2 linked regions of the Lonchura striata genome follow. The protein of the gene in region 2 interacts with the protein of the main gene of each other region in a pairwise test. Links are inferred from orthologs where the notes say so. Each region holds a gene or a part of one and is shown on either strand. Other genes may lie near its edges.

Region 1 (10,369 bases), on a different chromosome or scaffold from region 2:
GAAAGTAAAAATAGGCTACTGGAAAAATGATTCATTTTTTGTTTCCATGAGTTATTTGACAGTACCCTAGTTTCTTTGAATATTACAACAAGGAACTGACTACTAGAAAGTTCTAATACAAGATCTAGAGTGCATCTTTCTATTCTGTTAAGAAAAACCCCAGACATACTTTATTTCCTGCACCATATTGTATGAAAAATAAATTATGTGCAATTAAAAAGGCTGGTTGTAAACAGTTTTTTCCAAGTTATACACTGATTCTCATTAAAAAAACAAAAGGTTCAGGAGTGATAAGCAAGGAATATATGAATCACTGGTTATGATTTCTAGGAAGTAGAGCCGGGAAAAAAATAAAGGGATGTGCACGCCCTCATTCCTCAAAATACAGACCAGTAACAGTTACAATCAGTTTAGAACAAACAAACAAAAAATCACAAGGATTGTTCATTTTTTCCCTTTCCAGCCTTTTGCTGTAGATGAAATTGTAACTACTGAGTGGCAGGAACACTTCCCACCCCCTTCCATACAAAGAATCACAGCCTCAAGTAACCACTCTTGCAACAAATTTATCATGAAGCTTACAATGAACTACCTCACTGCTCATTTACAGACTTACCATTGGATAATGCCTGCTGAAGTTCATTATCAGATATTATTCCACTCCTGTCTTTATCAACTCTGGGGAAAAAAGCCAAAACAAAACAAAACCAGGTAGTAAGTTTTAAATGGCTGAAATTAACAGGTTCCACTTACTGAAGACTTCGACATTCTGCTTCTTAGTCACCAGATGAGATTATTATTTTCCTGAAAAGTCTCTGGAACATGATAAAAGCTCCAAAGAAAACTGCAAGACTTACTTACGAGTGAAGAGACGCACAGAAACACTGACAACGAAACAGTTTGGGCATGCTCTCCACAAGGAAGTATTTTCATTTATTTCTGTTTAAGAGAGCTGCAGAGCACACATGCTGGTTAAATCCACGAAATGCCTAATGTGACAGCAGTGAGCTATTTGTTTCACAAACTGGTGCAACAGGTTTGTCACCCAGGCTCTCTCACATGTTGGCAATGGAGATTAAGTCACTAATGTGACCAAAGTACTGAAAGGTTCAATCGTTTGCAGGGCCCTGCAAAGGGGTTCAAAGAAGCAAAAGCGCAGGCAGGTTCCAGCTTCCACTAAGCACAGTCCATTCACAGTCCATTGTCTTAATGATTCAAGTTCTATGCCAAAATTAATAAATTAAGTGATTTCTGCCCAATTAAAGAAGGAGCATGCCTTCTCTATCAGGGTACCTGAAAATGGTGGAGACTTCCCTCCATTTCATACAAGGATGTTCCCTTAGACTGACAATTTTCATTTCCCCTCATTTACTACCCCAACCAGAGTCCCGCTCAGCTGATCTCCATGCACAGAAGCTGATTTTCTTTTCCTTTAGTTCTTACTGTCTTTTTCTAAACACTTTCAGTTCATTCTATTGCTTCCTTCCCCATCTCCAAGAATTATGTAACCTGCATGCAATACTAAAATTGCTAGCATAAATTGCAAAGATTTCAATTACAAATTCCCCTGTATAATCTGTTTCTCTTCTTAGTATTGTGAACATTTTTTACCTTTTATAAGCTGCTACCAAGTGCTAAGCTGATATTTTCACTAAAATGCATTGACCTACTTATCTTTCTCCTGAGGGTCATCTATCAGCATGTTCCTTTTATAAACAAAATTATGGAAAATTAGAATGGGTTTTCCTCATGGACATCAGATTTCTGCTCTGGATTCCACCTGACACATTGGGATCACCTATCATGCAGGGATCATGATCTGACCATGACAGGCTGATACAGCCCAGTCATTCAGGACTGTAAGGTGCTCCTGCAAACTTTCACAGGCCTCAGTCACTGCAGAAATCAGCAAACTTCACCTGACCATTCACCCTTTTTTCACAGAATCATAGAACCACAGAATGGTTTGGGTTGAAAGGGACCTAAAATATCCTCAAGTTCCAATCCTTGGCTGTAGGCAGGAACATGTTCCATTACACCAGATGGCTCACAGCTCCATGCAGCCTGGCCTTAAAAACTTCCAGGGATGGGGCAGCCACAGCTTCTCTGAGCAACCTGTTCCAGTGCCTCACCACGCCCACAAAACAAAACTTATTCCCACCATCCAATCTAAACCTACTCTCTTTCCCACAACTGCTCCTGAACTGATTACATAAAGATCCCAGGAGAGCTCCATCTGTCAGTGTGGTGCATGACCACACACACACACCCTCCAGTCAGTTTTCCATCCACTGAAGAATGCTTCCATTCATTCCACGTTTACTGAATTTCTTCAAGGGCCTTTTGATAGTGTTGGGAGTATTTTTGAAAAGTGTACAGATTATACGAATTGCTCCAATTTTAGCCATCCATACCCAAATCCAATCCTTAGGAAACATAGTCCAGGATTTATATAGCAGTCTGCCAGAAGGAACATTTTCAACAAAAGCCATGCAACTCCTAACTACATTATTTAAAATTCTTTTTACTGATTTTCCTGGTGCAGAAGTCGGATTGTTGATCTGTTTCTTTCTGGACCCTTTAAAAAGAGAAACGGCTTCATGCCTGCCTCTCCCGAGTCCTCAGAGGAAGTTGTTTTACAGCAGGCTGGGTAGGTAAGCTGCTGCATTCCTGAGTCACTCTGTAAAGATCAGCCAGTTTTAGAAACTTAGTACTGTTTGTCTACTGCTTAAAACCCCTTCTTGCTGCTGCTTGTGTCAGAGGATCTGTCTTGAGTCATCTCCCATAAAAATGGATCCAATGTAGGCACCTCCCGAGTTTCCTCAACAAGACATAATTGGGAAATCTCCTTTGGCTTCTTTACTGATAGGATCTTGCCAGTGTGTTTCTTTAGCACAAGCTTGCTAACTCCCTTGCAGGTCCCTCTGATCCAGGAGAATTCAAGAGAATACTTCACAGAATCCTTCCGGTTGGAAAAGACCTCTAAGGTCATCAAGTCCAACCTATGACCCAACAGCCCCGTGTCACCTGGACCGTGGCACTGAGTGCCACGCCCCGTCTCTCCTTAAACACCTCCAGGGACCGCGACTCCAGCACCTCCCTGGGCAGCCCATTCCAATGTCCAATCACCCTTGCTGAGAAGTTCTTTCCGATATCCAGCCTAAATGTCCCCTAGTGCAGCTATCTTTTCTGGCTGGTAGCTTTAGTCTTTCATTAACATTTATCAGATCCCTTATTACAAGCAAGCCTTCCCTGTACTGCTACACCGATCCTCCGGACTTAATTATCCTTTCTGCAACCTCAGGTTAAAAATTACTTCAGCGCTTTCAAGGTTACCGTCTCGCTCCCACCAATTCCCTTTACCCCCGTTACAAAATACAGCCACGTTTATTCCTCCCCAGCTCTTTCGTACAGCTCCTCCCACGGGGAAGCCACCGCGATGCTCACAGCGCATCCAGCGCCGCGGCAGCCAAACCCCGCGCCGGATGCGCCGGGCCGGTGGCCGGACTCCCGCAGCAGCCGACCCGCTTCCGGCCCCTCCCGCTGCGCGCTGCCCGCTGCCCGCGGCGGGGCTCACCTCTGGAAGACGTTCCACAGGAAGGAGGGGTCGGGCAGGGCGGCGCCGCCGCCGCCGGGCCGGTGCTGGTACCCCGCCGCCATGGCCCCCGCGCGCCCGCCCCGCGCGCCGCCGACACCGGCCGCGCTGACGCACACGCCTGTGACGTCACGGCAGGGCGGGGGCGCGCGCCCCGCCCCGCCGCGCGGAGGGGAATCCCGGGCGGGCCCCGCCCCGCCGGGAGCCGCCCCCGGCGCGGGCGGGAGGCGGGAGCCGTGCCCGGGCCCGGGTCCCCGCTCAGGGCAGCTGGCCTGTCCTGAGGGGATGGAGCCTCAAGAAGCGATACAGAGGGAAACAAAGCCCGCTCAACAGATCCCCTCACACAAAGTGAGGATTAAAGCACACCGGGAAAGAATTTCAGGGAGAGGATGGAATTGGAGTACAAGCCAAATTAGCACCACCTCACTGATCTTTAACTGAATTCTTTACTGGGGGCTGAACACAACCCTCTGAAAACCAGTCAAATTCCTCTCCCTGCACCTACAACTTCTATGCAGAGTTTACTGTCCCTAAGAACCTCCTGTGCTAAAACCCCTCAAGCACAGAGATACCAGGATGAAGCTCTACTGAACCATCTCGGGACACACTGTCCCTGTCCCTGCAGAAAGTCACAATCTCAGATCCATCCTCTATCCAAACTGCTGGCCCTGTACATACCGCTTCCAGAGTACTGATGAGCTGGGGACGGCTGGAATGGCACAAGGCCTGGGTGGCCACAGGCCAAAGGCGTCAGGCACACAAACTCCAGAAAGCTGAATTAAAACAATGTAGGTATGCGTCTTCCTCATGCTTACTTCTGACAGCTCTGGTCAGGTACTAAGAGATAATGCCTTAAATGTGTCCTCCATCAAGGAATTTTGAATCCATAATCGTCTAGTACTATTTTATACTTAATCTGAAAATACTGTAGAAATAAAACCCAGTATCTTGTGTTTTCAGAAAACTATGAAATCCAATTTTTATTCACACTTAGAACAACAAAAAAGATTTACATGCTCTGTAAATCTACAAGGATGCAAAGAATCATAGCTGAACATAGGAATGATTTAACATTTTATTGAACTGGTGTGCTTTATGTGCTGTTTTTAGTGAATCAGTGAAAAAAAATTGTACCTTATGTCTTTATTTATTTATTCAACCTATAATCAAATTGCACTGTAGCAATTTCATTCAGTCCTTTATGTCAGCAAACTGATTTCATAATTAAGTTTTCTGCAATAAACTATTTTACACCAAAGTAAGTACATACACAAAATATAACGTGAAAGTGGATTGACATTAACGCTGAATGCAGTGCCATATAAAGACAGTTCTAAAGCAGTCTGCTTAGGTATTGTAAGTGATGTATGTTAGTATATCCAGCACTAATACAGCTCTGCAGGTCTTGGTATAAATATCTTTATATAGCATTGCAGCGCACTGTGCAAACATATTCCACAAGAAAAATGTATTTGCTGACAGCAAAACCAGCTGTGACAAACAGGTCAGTAAAAAAAAACCAAAAACAAAAAACAACCATGCCATTAAAAGCTTTGCTCTTCAAACATGACCTTTAATTCTTCTTTCAGGTATCTTGCATTTCCTTCCGTCCAAGTCTTCAGAAAGAACTATGCCTAGCAAGTATCAATGTATACAGAACTTCACTCAAAATAGCACTGCCAAATTTGCCCACAAATATTTCAAACCTGTTGATCCCAGAGCAGTAATGACACACAAACACAGAGTTGTCAATTACTTCAGAAGTTTTGGCACAGTGAGAGTAGGAACTGTAATTTCCTTAAAAATTGGCACGTAGTTTGGATTTGGTTGGCTTGGACCTTGATCCAAAGTTTCAATGATAGTCTGCTTCATATCTCTGCTGGCATCACCTCTCACTGTCAGCAAAGCTGCAATGTGGTCATCCCTGCCAAATAAAAAGGGTAAAACTGGCATTAGGAGGCTTCGCACAAGAAAGATTTTGTCAAAGACAGCACTTAATTGGCAATCCTTTCACTCAGTTTCAGGTACTTTTTTATTCTTAACGAGATCTCTACTCACTCAGAACTGGCTTTTCCTGCTCAATATAAAGCACCATTTTGGCTGCTTTTAGGACTCTAAAACCTATTTTATCCTCCTAACACACAGAGCTGAAGTATTTTTAGTATTCCCCTGCAGTACTTAAGTAGTTGTAACTTCTAGTCCAGCTCATGTACATTGTAGATTAGCATTACTTTCTTTTTATTATTAATTACTACAAGAAAGTGGTTACATTCTAAAATATGAAAAATATGAACACATTTACAGACTGTTTTAAATTTCAGAATTTGCCCAAACCTCTAGGAAATTATGTTGTTATCTTTCTATATATTAAATCTGAGGGCAGAGAATTACCTGATATCTGGGTATTTACTGACTAAAGTTGAAACTTCCAGATAGAGTAGTGAAGGATCAGTCAGCTTGATAACCTCGGCAATGGCTTCAATGATGTCACAGAGTCCTTCAGTGTCCTCTCCAGAGCCCTGCAAAAGTAAACAAAAAATATTAAAAATGTCCCAAAACAATAGCAGTACTCCTCAAACCTACAAATAATCCTTTAATTAATATTTTGTCTGACAATGCCCTTGAATTTCCCAAAAAGCTGAATTTTCAGACATTTAAAAAAACAAGTATTTGTAAATTGTCACCGTAATCCTTTTCTCTCCCTGTTTTCCATTCAGAGACTTATGCTGAGAATATCAGTGAAGAAAGTAGTGTCCTACAAACAATATGTTGTATTTATCCACATGGTGATAAATTCCAGTCTTCAACTTTGGGAAATTATGAGCATAAATATTAGGAATAACTGACATAAAAGACAGATCTCTTCTGAAACATTACTTCAAAACTGGCCCTCTGTTACATTCCTTCAAGTCATCTGGCCACCAAAGCAGCTTTCAGCAACTGGTTGATTGATCTGTATCTATTTAAACTCTGGATTATTTCAGTATTCTTATTCAAGGTCACCTGGTTCTGCCAATCAGGTATGGTTTGTTTCCTTTATTCTACAACCTCTTCCATCAACTATCCCAGTTTTTCAGGCTTTTATCTTTCTGCGCATTGTTTTTACAATCGGTCATCTGTTGCCCCCAAGAGCTTTCTGGAAGATCCCTGTTCCTTATGCAGTTAAAACTTTTACACCTGTCTTGTATGTTGATTTTCAAATACCTTTTTTTTAGCTTGTCTTTTCTATTTCTACTGGACTTTAAATGGGGTCAACATACTCATCTTATTGATCCAAATTAACACACTGCATGCTCCTTAGGTAATAAGTAATGGCATCTGTTTGATGCCAGATCAGCCTTTCTTCTGGCCAGGAAAAGAAAAGACAGATTTTTTTTTTTAATTGCTTTTTTCTTTCACTTACTACTATGAATTCCAGGTATCTATCTCTCAGAGGCCATTCAAATATTCAGCTGCAGAGAGCTGTATAAACACAAAGCACTAGAAACTGGTGCTCAGGAATTTTAGCAGCTGGCCTGAGTTTTCAGAATCTGCATCTGTGCCCCCCAGGTGGCATCTTTGATATTCCCAAGTCACTCAACATTTTGGAGACATGGAGATTTAACTCTAGCCATTTCCCCCAAGCAATAAACATACGTGGTTATTGTAAATTACCAGGATAACAGCACTACCCAAAGCAAATACTTACAGCTGCAAGCTTCTTAAACAAAAATCTGAACTGTTCTGCTTCTTTAATCATTCTTTCTGCACCTTCTTTTCTCTCTTCTGCATTCTTGAAAGATATACGTTTTAGCATGATTGCTCTGATGTATTCCACAACTACTCTCCGATGGGCCTCAAGAGTCATTGTCTGAAAGAGATGGAAAAGCTGGTGGGTTATGCCAGTGATACCTGCAGAAGTAGCCATTATTTTTAAGCTATGAACTGTGTATTTGCACTTAAACAGCAGTATACAATTTTTGCTAACACAGATTGAGGAGTTTTAGATTTTCACTGTTCTCACAGAAATGAAAATCTCTCCTTCCCTAACAATGAGCCAATCACAAGAAGCAACAAACCCAACATATCTTTAATAACATGTCTGAGTTTTTTGAGGAGCATCAAAGAACAATCCCTTTCTCAGATCTTCCTTGACTGATTTGCTGTTCTGCACTTATCTTTTTTATGGGAAATATCTACTGGTACCTGGATGGTATGAGTATCATGGTATTTGTGCAAGAGTAATACTGAGATTTGGAAATAAAGAACAAAACTAAAACTCCAAAACCTTCACATGCTTATTTTTCAACAAAAATGTAACCAGAGTTCTTAAATCCGACAAGTCCTCAGGTGTTTTTTCTTCCTCGTAAACATGGTGGCAAAGTTACTTATGATTAAGAAAAAGCTGGTGTAAGAGGTAGTCACAAACTATTTATTATGTTTTATTAGCAGTATGATCAAACTTTAGTTTCAAGTTGTTCTTGAAATATATTCTTCAGTCAAAATTTGAATAAAAGGTTTCAGCAAAGAGAGAAAAAGGAAGAAAAAAAGGGAGAAAACAGATTGCAAAGTACTGGAAGTCAAAAATACAATTTTAAGTTCTGCTCTCAAGAGTCTGCAGAAATACCAGAGTTAGGTGGTTGCTCAGGGACAGCTTCTCTTGTGTTGGTGGAATTGATGCCAGTTACACAAAGAAAAATGAACTCCACAGAACAGACTGTGGGGGGCTGACATGTATAGCCCATCTGGCTGGAGAGGAACTGAAGAACAGCTCCACTACAACTAGAACACTCCAGAAGAGCCAACAGGGAATGGTAGAGCATTCAATTTACACACAAGGAAAACAGTAAAGCAGAATGCCTTAAATGCCAATTTCCTCTGTTTCAGAACTCTGTCCTTCTCATTGGACTACAGTCTTCTTGGAGGTGCTCTGATCATGTGGCTTTTAAAAACTGTACTTTCAAAACAGGGTTATCCAAGAATATTTTAAAACCTGGAAAAATCCCATCACAAATCGGGGAAACAAAAGCATGGTCCAGCCCGTGCTAGAACATATGGCATCTTTCATGGGAGATTTTTTTTGTGCTGGGAGACAGTGGAAAAGTGGGTATGTTGAATGCCAAACAACCTGCTTGTAAGCTTCTTCCCCACAAGGTGGCAATAAATGCTACATATTGAAACATATGTGATTACAGAGATGGGTATTAACACCTCAAAAGCCATGCCAAGCACTCGTACCTCACAGTAATAAACTAAATCTGGAAAAGAAAGCTGTTCCATGGATATAGACTAATTCTGAGACTGACCTAACTCATTTTGTGCACTTTTTCTGGACCGAAAATACATTTACTTACATAATAAGGCCTCTAGGATCTGCAAATACTGAAGGTTAAAAGGTCATAGGAGAAACTCGGAGCGGTTCCCTTTATCACTTTGAGAATTAAGGTAAGAAAGAATAAGTGTATGATTTGGAGACTGTCTTTTAAGCCCTTCTAAGAGCTTCTTCAAAGACCTCACCTAAATACAGATCTTGCTGGCTTCTATTAGGTTCCTAAATGTTAGACAACCATTTAATCCTGTCTTATTACATGAACCTGACTTTAATCTTCCACATTATTGTACTTGTTTCTATAAATAGAGAAATTCAGATATCCTTTGACAGACCAGAGGAAAAAAAATCCTAACCTAGCACATTTACCGTTGTAAGAGAACTTTAAACATAAATATGCATTTGTTAACTCTTATGGCACACCAAATTCACTATGCTTCATTGTATATATTAAAACTAGGAATTACTTGATGTGCATTTGCAAAAAAAGTCATTACAGACCAGGAAAACTAGTTTCAGAAGAGCTAATTTTATCAGACTACAAACTTCTGAGAAGTGGCAAAAAATACAAACTGGTAAAAATATCTAGTAACATGCCAAGAAGTTTCTTGGACTAAATACTACAACTTAGATCTGTCTTTGACAATATTACATGCCTGTGAACAAAAAAAAAAAAAAAAAAAAAAAGTAGATTCAGATTTCTGCAATATGATGATGAACATTTTTTCCTTTCCAGTAATGAATCAATTCCAATTTCTGCATTTCAGTTTTGAATTCCATGTGGTGTTCAGAAATTCCAAATCACCATGATGCTCAGAGTACATTAGCAAAGTATCACTATGTTGCACCTACCTTTTTGTAAGGCTTTTTAATTTTTGCAAAGTCATTGAAATAATCCTCTACAGTGACACAGATAGTCCCCACTGCATTAGATCCCATCAGCCACTTCTTTGTCATCAGCTCATTCAGATGGGGCTGAGAAGGTGACAAGATCAGAACAGGTTTTTGACAGTTTCATCAGATCAGTGCAGTTACTAAAACATGCGAGACAATTATAAGTGTTGTCAATTTCTAAACTATGCTTCTCCCACATCCTTCCTCATGTGAGCCACTCAAGGTATTTATATTAGTTCAAAGTTTTATTACAAATTCATCAAGTCCCAGAGCATCTCTCTTTACCATTTCCTGCTGTTTCTCTAATTGCCCTGTTTCCCTCCCCATACTCCCTATTTTTTAAAGTAGTAATTCTTTCCCTGAGGGATTCTATAGAAGAAGCTAGAATTCCTAAACATGGAAATCTACCACACAGAAAGGGGCCCACTGTTAGAATCAATTAAATATCTTAATTACAGGTGAACTGTACCTTCAATATTAATATTGCAGACAACTTAATATCAGCAGCAGTTTCCCAAATAATTCCTACAACTCAACAACATAAGACTAAGTACATCTGCTAGAAAATATTA
Region 2 (9,886 bases):
ACTACCCCTCCGTGAGCAAAATGGACAAACCTTCATTCGTTCCAGACTATAAGGAATTATTCATTCTCAGTTGATTAATTCTTTCCAGGAACAGAATTATTAAAGAACCAACTTAGAATAGTAAAATAGGTATTTCAAAGCAACCATAAACAAAGAATGTGAAAAGAAAGCAAGACTGTAGCCTTCAAATCTAGACTGCACTTGAGATCAGCAAGGTCTAATCCTTAAAGCTTACTACGAGAAGTATTTTTCCCCTAAATCCTGGTATTTGTAAGATGCATTTATTCTCCTAGCTAATAGAAAACCAAGTATTTTTAAAACACTACCAAGCACAGGCAACAACCAGTTATTTTGACTATAGTTAAGTACACTGTTTACTGAATAAGTGCAAATTCCCATGCTTAAAATTGTTACCTCTAGCAATAATAACAGAAACAGTTACCCTGTCTGCTTCAGGCAACTTAAGCACTTAATTCAGAGCAACTTACTAGGCCAAAGTCCAAAATCAGACAAGTTTTTCTAGCCAAGCCAGAGGTCTTCGGGGGTGCAGGAATTAATCATAGCAATTATCACTTCACATACATATTGACTATATGGCTACAGTAAAGTTTAGCACAAACAAGAGACCTTCAGAAGCATTAAAACTCATCTGGATCTTTAATATGGAACTGATATATTTGACAGTTCTTAAGATCACCAGAAGTTAAGATCTAAAAGCCTGAATTGGAAGCCCACCTCTCCTACTGGTGAACACTTTCCCAATGCCCTCAAAAAAACCTTTATCACTCACACTTTGTGGTAAAAGAAAAAAAAAACCAAACACAACCAAAACAATAATTCCAAAAGACTTTTAACCTTCCTTACCAAGTAAGACAGCATATTCTCTCTCAAACAGACAGCACATAAGGGAAAAAAGGAGGCCACACCTGGGAAGAACTTGTTTCCCTTTCTTTGGAGGTCTCAGACAAGATCATTGCTACTAACCAGACGTCACAGAGACAGGCACTGCACAGGGAACAGCCAGGGAGTGGCTGTGGGGGCTGTGTTTGTTTTATTCAGTTACCAAAATCTAACAACTGGCACTGGTCCACAACCAGCATCTGTGACAGCTGAACATTATGGATATAGTTGCACACATACAAACAAAAAACTAGCTGCCAAGCAAGAATCACACAAGAAAGTGTCAGAATTGTCTCTTAGAAGGACACCACTGAGTCCCAGCTCTGTCCTGTAACTGATTCCAGGTTACCCCATTCAGGATCTAACTTCTTATCAAGCTTATCTAGTGAGTGCTGATAAAATCTGGAACAAACACAGAGCAACAATAGAAGCAATACACAGTAAAAACCTATTGCTGTTCTTAGGTTTGCATATCTACTTTACATTGTTCCCATCTTGGGGACCTGGGAAGGAAATTCAGCATTTATACCAACCACAGTCACTTTCAAATAAACTGGCAAAAATAAAGGGACAACTCAAGTTTCAAACAGGTGAAAGTGCTGTTTGCTGAGGGGTAAATGTGCAGCCTTTTCTTTCCTTTAAAAAGTGTTTTGCTACCTTCAAAAGAAACTCAAAACAAAACACACTGCATACAGCTGACAAGTCCCTGTCCTTATTTCCAACAGTTTACATAAAACACTTTAAAAATATATCCAATAAGAAATATGGGTCAAGGTAGTAAACAAAAATAACAATAAACAAAAATCATATTGGTGCCATTACTCAGTTGAATATTTATTGTAACAGAAACCTCCAACCACAATTTGAAGCTGACAGAGAAGTTTCTACAAATTATTATATAGAGGCTTGGCTAAAAATAAATGAAACTTTCAGTTTGTTCAAAAGCCCTACTATTTCTGTAGTCACAATTAAACTATCTGCTATATTGTTGCTTTAACTAGAGCTTCTTTTTTTAATACCTCCATTGCTATCACAGAAGTAGAATTAAGTCAGCTCTATCTTGGTTTTGATTAGTGCAGTGCTATTGAACAGACCCTATGGAAGCTCTATCTTCCAAAATTTGTTAGAGGTCTAGAAAACACCACCTCCTGTAACCTTCAAATCAGACAGACTTCTTGGCTTGATTTTTTTTTTTATATAGCAGATCAGGTTATGTATTTTAAGTTGTTATCTAACACTATGTCTTCACAATTCTGACTACATAAACACCCCCATGAAATAGCTCCATCCCACTGCTGGTTTTGTTGTACCTTTTAGTGACTTCTGACATTTCATGGAGTTTTCAGTCTAACAATTCTAAACTTCTGGGGACTACAAATAATAAGCTAAAGAAGTGACAAATCATATGAACGAATGTGATGGCTACTCCAGGAATTTTAAGTACAGACAGACATTTTGGCCTCTGATCTTATACTAAGGTCCAGCAAGAGAAAAACCAAAAATATCATAAATATTGTTGACATAAAATAATTAGGCACTCAGCAGAAATGCAGTGGGGACAGGGCTACAGGCAAACATGTAAGCAATGCTCAATTCAAGTTATCTGCTGCATCAGTGGGAGGAGAGTGGTCCACATGACTCTTACAGCAACCCAAAACACAGGAAATTATAAAAATAGCCAAGCTATGGGGAAAGTGTTCATACACTCAGGCTTTACAGCAACCATATACTTGCACTGCTTTTGTGCTGTTTCTGATGTTACCATGGGTGATCTAGTAAAACACTGACTCACTCCACGGAAAATAACTATATGCTGGGGGAGGTATCAGGGAATGAACCTCCCGCCTCTGATAGCAGCTGGGTTTTCATGTGCATAACCCTCATAATCAGCTCCTTCATCAAAACACACTGCACCAGCACTTCTCCCCTCCCTCGCCAGTCTGCTTTCTCCGCTCCCCAGCCTCCTGTCCCCGTTCCAGGCTGAGATGCCTTCCATGCCTCTGCCACTCCCTTCAGAACGTTATTTCTCGACAGTTCCTCCTTAACAGGAAGAAGCTTCCAGGAACTACTGTAAATATCTTTAAAAATTAAAACATATTCCAGAGAAGTACGTCCTTACTGCCCAGAAACAGAATGGGGACAAGAAGGAATTGCTTTTCTGAATAGGGAGATATTTGTGCTGTGCTCTGTCACACATATAGCTGCAGCATAGCAAGAGTTTGAAGAGTTTCCTTTTAAGACAACTAAAGTGACTTGAAGACACTTAAAGACACTTAAGTGTCTTAAAGACATTCGAAATACATATGGTATAAGAAAAGATAGAGTGTAATAAGTGCAGTTTAGAGAAAGGGGCCTTCTGGATTAAAAAAAAAAAAAAAAAAAAAAAAAAAAAGGCAAAAGCACTGCGTAATGGCCAGCCTACCATCTTAGGCTGCTTCCTCCTGACAACTGTACACATCAAATCATAAAGTCAAGATAAACTACGGACTCGGCCAAAGGACCGAACTGCGACTACAACAGCAGAGCATGCCCTCTCCCCTGAATCCACGTTTCCCCAGGGAACGGGCGTCGCTCCCTGCCGGCGGCGGAGCTGCCGCAAGCCCCGACCTCCCCGGGTCCCGGGCAGCCCTTGAGCCGCCGCTGTCACCCCGCGGGCTCCTGCCGCCCGGGATCCCGGCCCCGCGGGGACCCGGCCCACGGCCCCGCCGCACCGGGGCCCTGGCCCCTCGCCCCGGCCCGAGGTCGCGCCTACCGCAGGTCCCGCGGAGCCGCCGCTCCCACCGCCCGTGCCGGTGCTGGCGGCGCTGCGGGCGGGCCCGGAGCGGCAGGGGCGGAGCCGCCCGCCCGGCTCGCCCGGCCCGGCCCGGCCCGCCCCGCCGCGCGGCGAGGAGGGCCGGCCCGGCCGGCGCGGAGCCTGCGCTGTCCCGGCCGGACAGCCCGCGCTGGCCCCGGGGAGCCCGCAGCAGGTCTGACCGCGGGCCGGCTTCAGCGAAAGGCCCATTGTATTGAAAACACAGCTCTCTAAGAGAGGTAACGCCGCCCGTCGCGGGGCAGCCTGGGCATTCCCCGAGAGCACAGCGGCGCCTGAGGGACCGGCTGGCCTGCACACGGCAAAACCAAGTCCTGGCTCAAGTCAAGCTTGTAAGCGTTCAGCACAGCATCGGATTTAAACCCAAAACCACCCTGACTGTCCTCACCAGGAAACACGGTTTCCAGACAAGGTGGTACAGAAAACACCCATTTAGTATATAATACAGTTTTCCCTAAGTAAAATTTCACAAAAAAAGTCAAGAGGAAGCCTTTTCTAGTACAAGCAGTAATAGCTACAGGCTTCAATAAACATTTTTTCTTTCCTACATGCATTCTTTAAAGGTGAGTGAAGTTGCTCACATGGAAGCATTTAGAGAGACAAACCAAGATAATAAAAACGAAAAATAAAAAGGGCTAGCATTTTCCAATTATATTTCTTTTGCCAAGACACTAATAAAAATAGCAAACACAGCATTATCTAGCTGAGTCACAGCATTATACAACTTGGGTGGGGAATGAACTTGATGTTGCAGCTGGGAATTTTGTGAACAGGGTCCAGAACTGGGTAGATGTGTTCACACTACTCAAAGCATCCTGTTCAACCACCAATAGCTTTCAGTGGAGGACCTGGGCTTTTTCTCCTCCATACAACTTTCACATACCACAATGGCCAATCATTGTAATACAACAGCTGTGACTGAACTAAAGAAAATAAATTGCCATTTTTCCCTCTCCAAAATTTTAATTGGCACTGCAGAGGCAAGGCTGCACTCATGGGAAACAGCTACATTTAAAGTAGTCTAAAACAGGTGAAGAGCTATATCTGAGTATAAGAACAGCTGTGGTGCTTTAACCCCAGCCAGCAGCCAAGCCCCACACAGCCTCTCTTCCTCCCTGGCCAGTAAGATCAGGGAGAGAACAAAAGAGGTAAAAGTCAGAAAACTTGTGTGTTGAGATAAAGACAGCCTAATAGGAAAGCAAAAGCCATGCACACAGGCAAAGAAAAAGGAATTAATTCTCCACTTCTCATGGGCAGGCAGGTGTTAGCTACCACCAGGACACATAACAGTTACTTGGAAAGATAAATGCCATCACTCCAAATGTACCCTCTGCTTTCATAGACTGAGCATAATGTCATATGGTCTGGAATATCCCTTGGGATCAGTTGGGGTCAGCTGTGTCCCTGCCCAACTTTTGTGCACCCTCAGTCTCTGTGCAAGCCCTGTTCAGCAATAACAAAAACATCTCTGTATTATCACCACAGTCTTCAGCACAAATCCAAAATATAGCCCCCCACTAGTCACTGTGAAGAAGATAAACTGAATTGCAGTCAAAACCAGCACGTTAGCTTATTGTGATTTAGGACAAATTATAAATTATCTTAAGATACCTTAAGCTTCACTGATAAAGACGTTGCTCATTAATAGGCAAAGCTAAACATCAACACAGGTTCTGATGCAGAGTGTAGCCTGATGTTCACTCTGCAGGCAGATGGAGAAATGAAGATGTGCCCAGAGTAGCTCAGGTGGAAAGAAGGCCAGGGATCTTTGTCCTCTGAGTCTGCTGGTATTGCTTCTCTTGGGATCTAAGCTCCTCTCACCTCTGTCAGCCAAAAGGGGCCACATTAGCTCTACACAAGAGTTCTGTTAACCAGAGTAACTTCCACTGAAACAGGTTAGGAGCCATTCAGAGGAGCTGCTGCTCCCAGCAGATGAGGACACAGCAGCTTCTACAAAGCATTATTTCTTCTTCCAGAAGGATTTGGAAAAAAAACCAAACTCATATTTCTACAACTTTAATACTGCTATTTTTTCATGTAGAAAAGCCCTTTGAGTATCAATGCCTAGGCTGGAGGGGGTGTATGAGGAAGTGTGTACTGCTGCAACCAGCCTGTATTCATTCCAGACCAGGTTGTGCTCACTTTGAAGTCAATTGCAATCCTCCATGGGTTTAACCAAGGTCTAGATTTGGCTTAGCTCTATGAATCCCTCTATTTTTCCAGGCTCGGTGACTGGAAGTCTCACACCTTTGATGCTCCATTCATAAACAGAAAACTGGACTAGCTATGGCAGTATGTGGAATGTTCTTCTCACAAAGAAATCATTGTATGGAGACCTCACTACCTGCCATTTTCAGACAGTCAGGGACTGAGACATACTTTATTTCTGGAATTTTTTCCACAGGAATGATAACCTCTGAGCCCATGGTTTTTGTGACCTGTGGCTGGAGAAAAACCTTTTTCCTGCAAAAACTGCTACAGGCAGCACATGTACTTACAGACAGCACATGTACTTGTCAGCATCTACCTAAAGTTCTAGGAGTTTTAAAATCTTTTTATTTATCCACACCTTGGGTTTTAATATTTATGCTGGTATTTAACCAGGACAGAACTCCAAAGCACCACATGCTGTGCAATTGAACAAAGGTTTACTTTTACTCATATAAAAAAAACAAACCTGTCAGTCTGTATTGGCATTTCAAACCAAATTCATACAGAGAGTGATGCCACAGTCAGAAATGAAGCAGAAACAAGGCCTAGAATCCTGGGTGTTGGGATAGGTGACAGTTCGCCTGTCATCTCAAGCATAATCATACTGCTTTCTGACATTGTGCCAATCTGAACCAGTACCCATTGAAAGAGAGAAGCCTTTGTGGGAGAACCCACAAAAATCACAGCAGCATTTCCTGCAAGCAACACATTTTCCTAGTGACCCTTCCAAGCTCATGTGCTCCAGCCTTGCAGTTTTCCAAGTGGATTTGTGCCATTATAACACACAGACCAGAACTGAGTGGTGGAAACTAGTACAACAAAACATCCACATGATTTCATAGGTACTTTGTCCTTCATTTTTCCATATTCATTTTACAGCATTTCATTTCTATCAGTAAAATATTCCATTGTTGAGAACTCAAAAAGAAAAATCTCAAGTGTTTTCACAGTAAAAGCCAGCAGAAAATACTAAACAAAGCATAAAATAAAACCTCCAAGTATTATAACACAGCCTTTCAGACAGTCTAGGACCCATGAGTACCAGACAGAGTGAGATACATTTTTGGGAGGTCTAGCCTGGAACCCAAATGGTCCAGTTACCCCAGAGGTTTCCTTCATGAACATGATGAGGTTCAGACCCCTGAAGGTGTGCATACATACAGCCTACATTCATTTTGAGCCCTAAGGAACTGATATACATCATTTGTCAACTCACTCTCTTATGAGAAAGGGTGTTCTCTCACAATCATGCTGGGTTGTAGTCACTTTTTTACACTTCTATTGGTTGATAGAGATTTTAGAAAGACATTTGCCTGAATCCTTTCACTCTGCTTTAGCCACAAAAGACATTTATCATCCCTCCTTGCTTTTTTACTGCTCCTGAGCATTCTGTAGATTTTACACATGTTTTTGCACATAGTTTTTAACTCCATCAGCTTGCGACTCTTCTATGCACCTGTTTTCCTTCTTCATAACTAGGCCTTCAGTTAAACCAGATCCCTGCAAGACAGTATCACGTGTTTGGATTTGCCTCCCCTGCTTGTTCCTCCACAGGTTCTTTGTATATGCCAGCGTGTTAGACTTGAAGATAACAAGCATTGATGGTAACAGCATTATCCTCAATCTGTGTTACACTCCTGAAAAAATTTTACTGCTTAAAATCTATTGCTCGGAGGCAGGCTTAGCTGAAATGACCTCTGCACTTCAGCTTTGTTTCCTCAGTGCATTTTTGTTGCAATAGGAGGCTGCAATGTTTAATGTCTGCTCTGCCACTAGTCTGGAATAAAGGTAACACCGCCTATGGCTCGACTTGCTGGATGCTGAGGAATGCAACACTACAGCCATTTCGTAACTGGGCCAGAACTTGTGATGGACTGTACAAACTCTGTTATCAAACTATCTGCCTTAGACCTAGGTAGGTCTGTCACATAAAAATTTTCATGAATTAAATTTATTGCATGCATCTTGCATTGCCCCCCAAACCATCATACTGTGAGCTTTGATCTGTGAGGCTGTCAATCTGAGCATTTTCCATTGTTACTAAAAGCATTCAAATTAAGTTAAGAGCAAATTGGAGCCTGCATTTGTATGTAAACCATTACCCTTCACATATAGCCTTGAAATAAACATTTTCATCAAGGAATAACAGATGGAAGTGCTTTAGTTTCCATTTTGTATTAACAGAAACTTCTCATTAAACTCTTGAAGCGTTACAATTGGATAGCTCTGTATTTTCCTGCTTGGTGGGCATAGCCTGGCTGACTTTGGTGGGCTGACACTTTGCCACATACACTCATAGAAGTCACAAGTTCACAGCCTTTACAGATGATATTTTCTACCATTTGTTTAGATTTTCTGCTTTGCATTGTGCCTTGTGTAAAATTGCATCCTGAACTCCAATCAGCATTTAATTCTAAGTTAACAGAGTTAACCAACAGGAAAAGGAACTCACAGAAACAGACTGAGCTGGCCCTGGCATGCACACACTTCACCTACACCTGCAGAGTTTAAGCTCCCAGTATGGGGAAAGAGATAAATATCTGCTAGTATTTTTAAGTGCTGCTGAATGCAATTCAGTTGGTTGACTGGGAATCCCATCTGAATGCATTCTGGATGAGCCATTCATCCCAATGTGTCAGCTGTGGCAATTTGTAATACTTTTGTAATACCAATCTGAGCTGATTGTGTCATTATTGTAAATGACGTTCCAGCCCCACAAAGTTTCTGGGTGGAACTTAATATGATGTAAGGACAAATACCTACCTATTGTTTTCTCTTCCAGGAAGCAGAGAGCAAAGCAACTCAGGCATTCAGCAGTATCAAAGAGTTTTCAAGCTATTGAAAGAAGTCATTATTGTAGGGTTAACCAGAAAGTTTCATTAAAGAGTGATTTAACGATGATGATTAAACAGTTACTAAACAATGACAACAAGGTGGTCAAATGCTCTACCACTTACCACACTTCTAATAATTAAGCTAGCTTGTGTAGAGTATGCTTTAAATTTAACATAAAGTGTTACTGACCTTGCTGTAGATTCCAGATGCCAGGCAAGTGATCTCTTGGTCTTGAGGCGTAGCCTTGGGAGGCACTCCTGCTCAAGGGGTCACTGCCATGCAGGAGAGCTCAGGCTCTGGGACTGCAGATACCTGTAGTGGAAAGTGATTGGTTTGTAGTCAAACTCCTCTCTGATGGCAGCCATAGAAGTTTGAGATATGTTTGGTCTCAGTTTAGGCTGGTCCTATTAACTCCCAGTAAGACCCAAATTCTTTAGGTGAAGAGGTACTGCTTAGCATAATTTTGCACAAGGTTTTCACAGCAGGGTTGGCTTTAGCCAAGCCTATTTGTTGGTGATGCCAACAAATGGTGTACCACTCACTCAGAGCAGGTGTGCCCATTACACCATAAAGTTTGAGAAAGGATTTGGGAAAGATCTCAATTCTTATATTCCTTTCCCTCTGATGTAACTATTCACACTTCTGGCTAACAGCAATGCTTCTGTTGTACTCCTAATAGAAAAAGGTGGGATTTAGAGTCACTCACAAAGCTACATTTAGCTTTGATTCTGGCTTTGACACCTTTTAGCTCCTCCCACCAGGTAATGAACCTGCAGCTTTTTACCTTTACTGTCCTATTTACTAGAACTGAACCCTCTCCTATATCTTGTTCTGCTCTCCTCACCTTTAAAGCCTATGTCAGAATACACCATATTGAACTATTCTTCTTTTCCTTCATCTACTATATGCCCCTCTTTCATATTTGTGTGGTAATTTTGTGAAGAAAGGAGTGCCTATAGATTTTATGTGTATTAAATACATCAAAACAATAATGGAGCTGAAAACACGACTACTCAGTAAACATCAAGATCTGGGTAATTTTAGCTTACTGTATGTGACCTAGTATGTGACTTTAGCCTGTTCATTCTTCAAATTCCCTTCCTTAACACTAAAAATAAATACTATTAATCA

Evidence for each region.
Region 1: the proteins of ANXA11 (region 2) and PDCD6 interact in binary tests that used the Homo sapiens proteins (3 or more experiments, as listed by UniProt). The link is inferred for Lonchura striata from reciprocal best matches to the Homo sapiens genes ANXA11 and PDCD6.

What each region holds. Positions count from the first base shown.
Region 1 is NC_134603.1:61,258,196-61,268,564, forward strand, and holds the start of PDCD6 (programmed cell death protein 6), read right to left. Parts: upstream 3,714-10,369; 5' UTR 3,661-3,713; coding exon 3,578-3,660; intron 679-3,577; coding exon 617-678; intron 1-616. Other genes in the region: EXOC3 (exocyst complex component 3), read right to left, coding at 5,348-5,519, 5,987-6,114, 7,284-7,445, 9,756-9,878. UniProt on the Homo sapiens protein: Calcium sensor that plays a key role in processes such as endoplasmic reticulum (ER)-Golgi vesicular transport, endosomal biogenesis or membrane repair.
Region 2 is NC_134609.1:8,708,929-8,718,814, forward strand, and holds the start of ANXA11 (annexin A11), read right to left. Parts: upstream 3,731-9,886; 5' UTR 3,653-3,730; intron 1-3,652. UniProt on the Homo sapiens protein: Binds specifically to calcyclin in a calcium-dependent manner. Required for midbody formation and completion of the terminal phase of cytokinesis.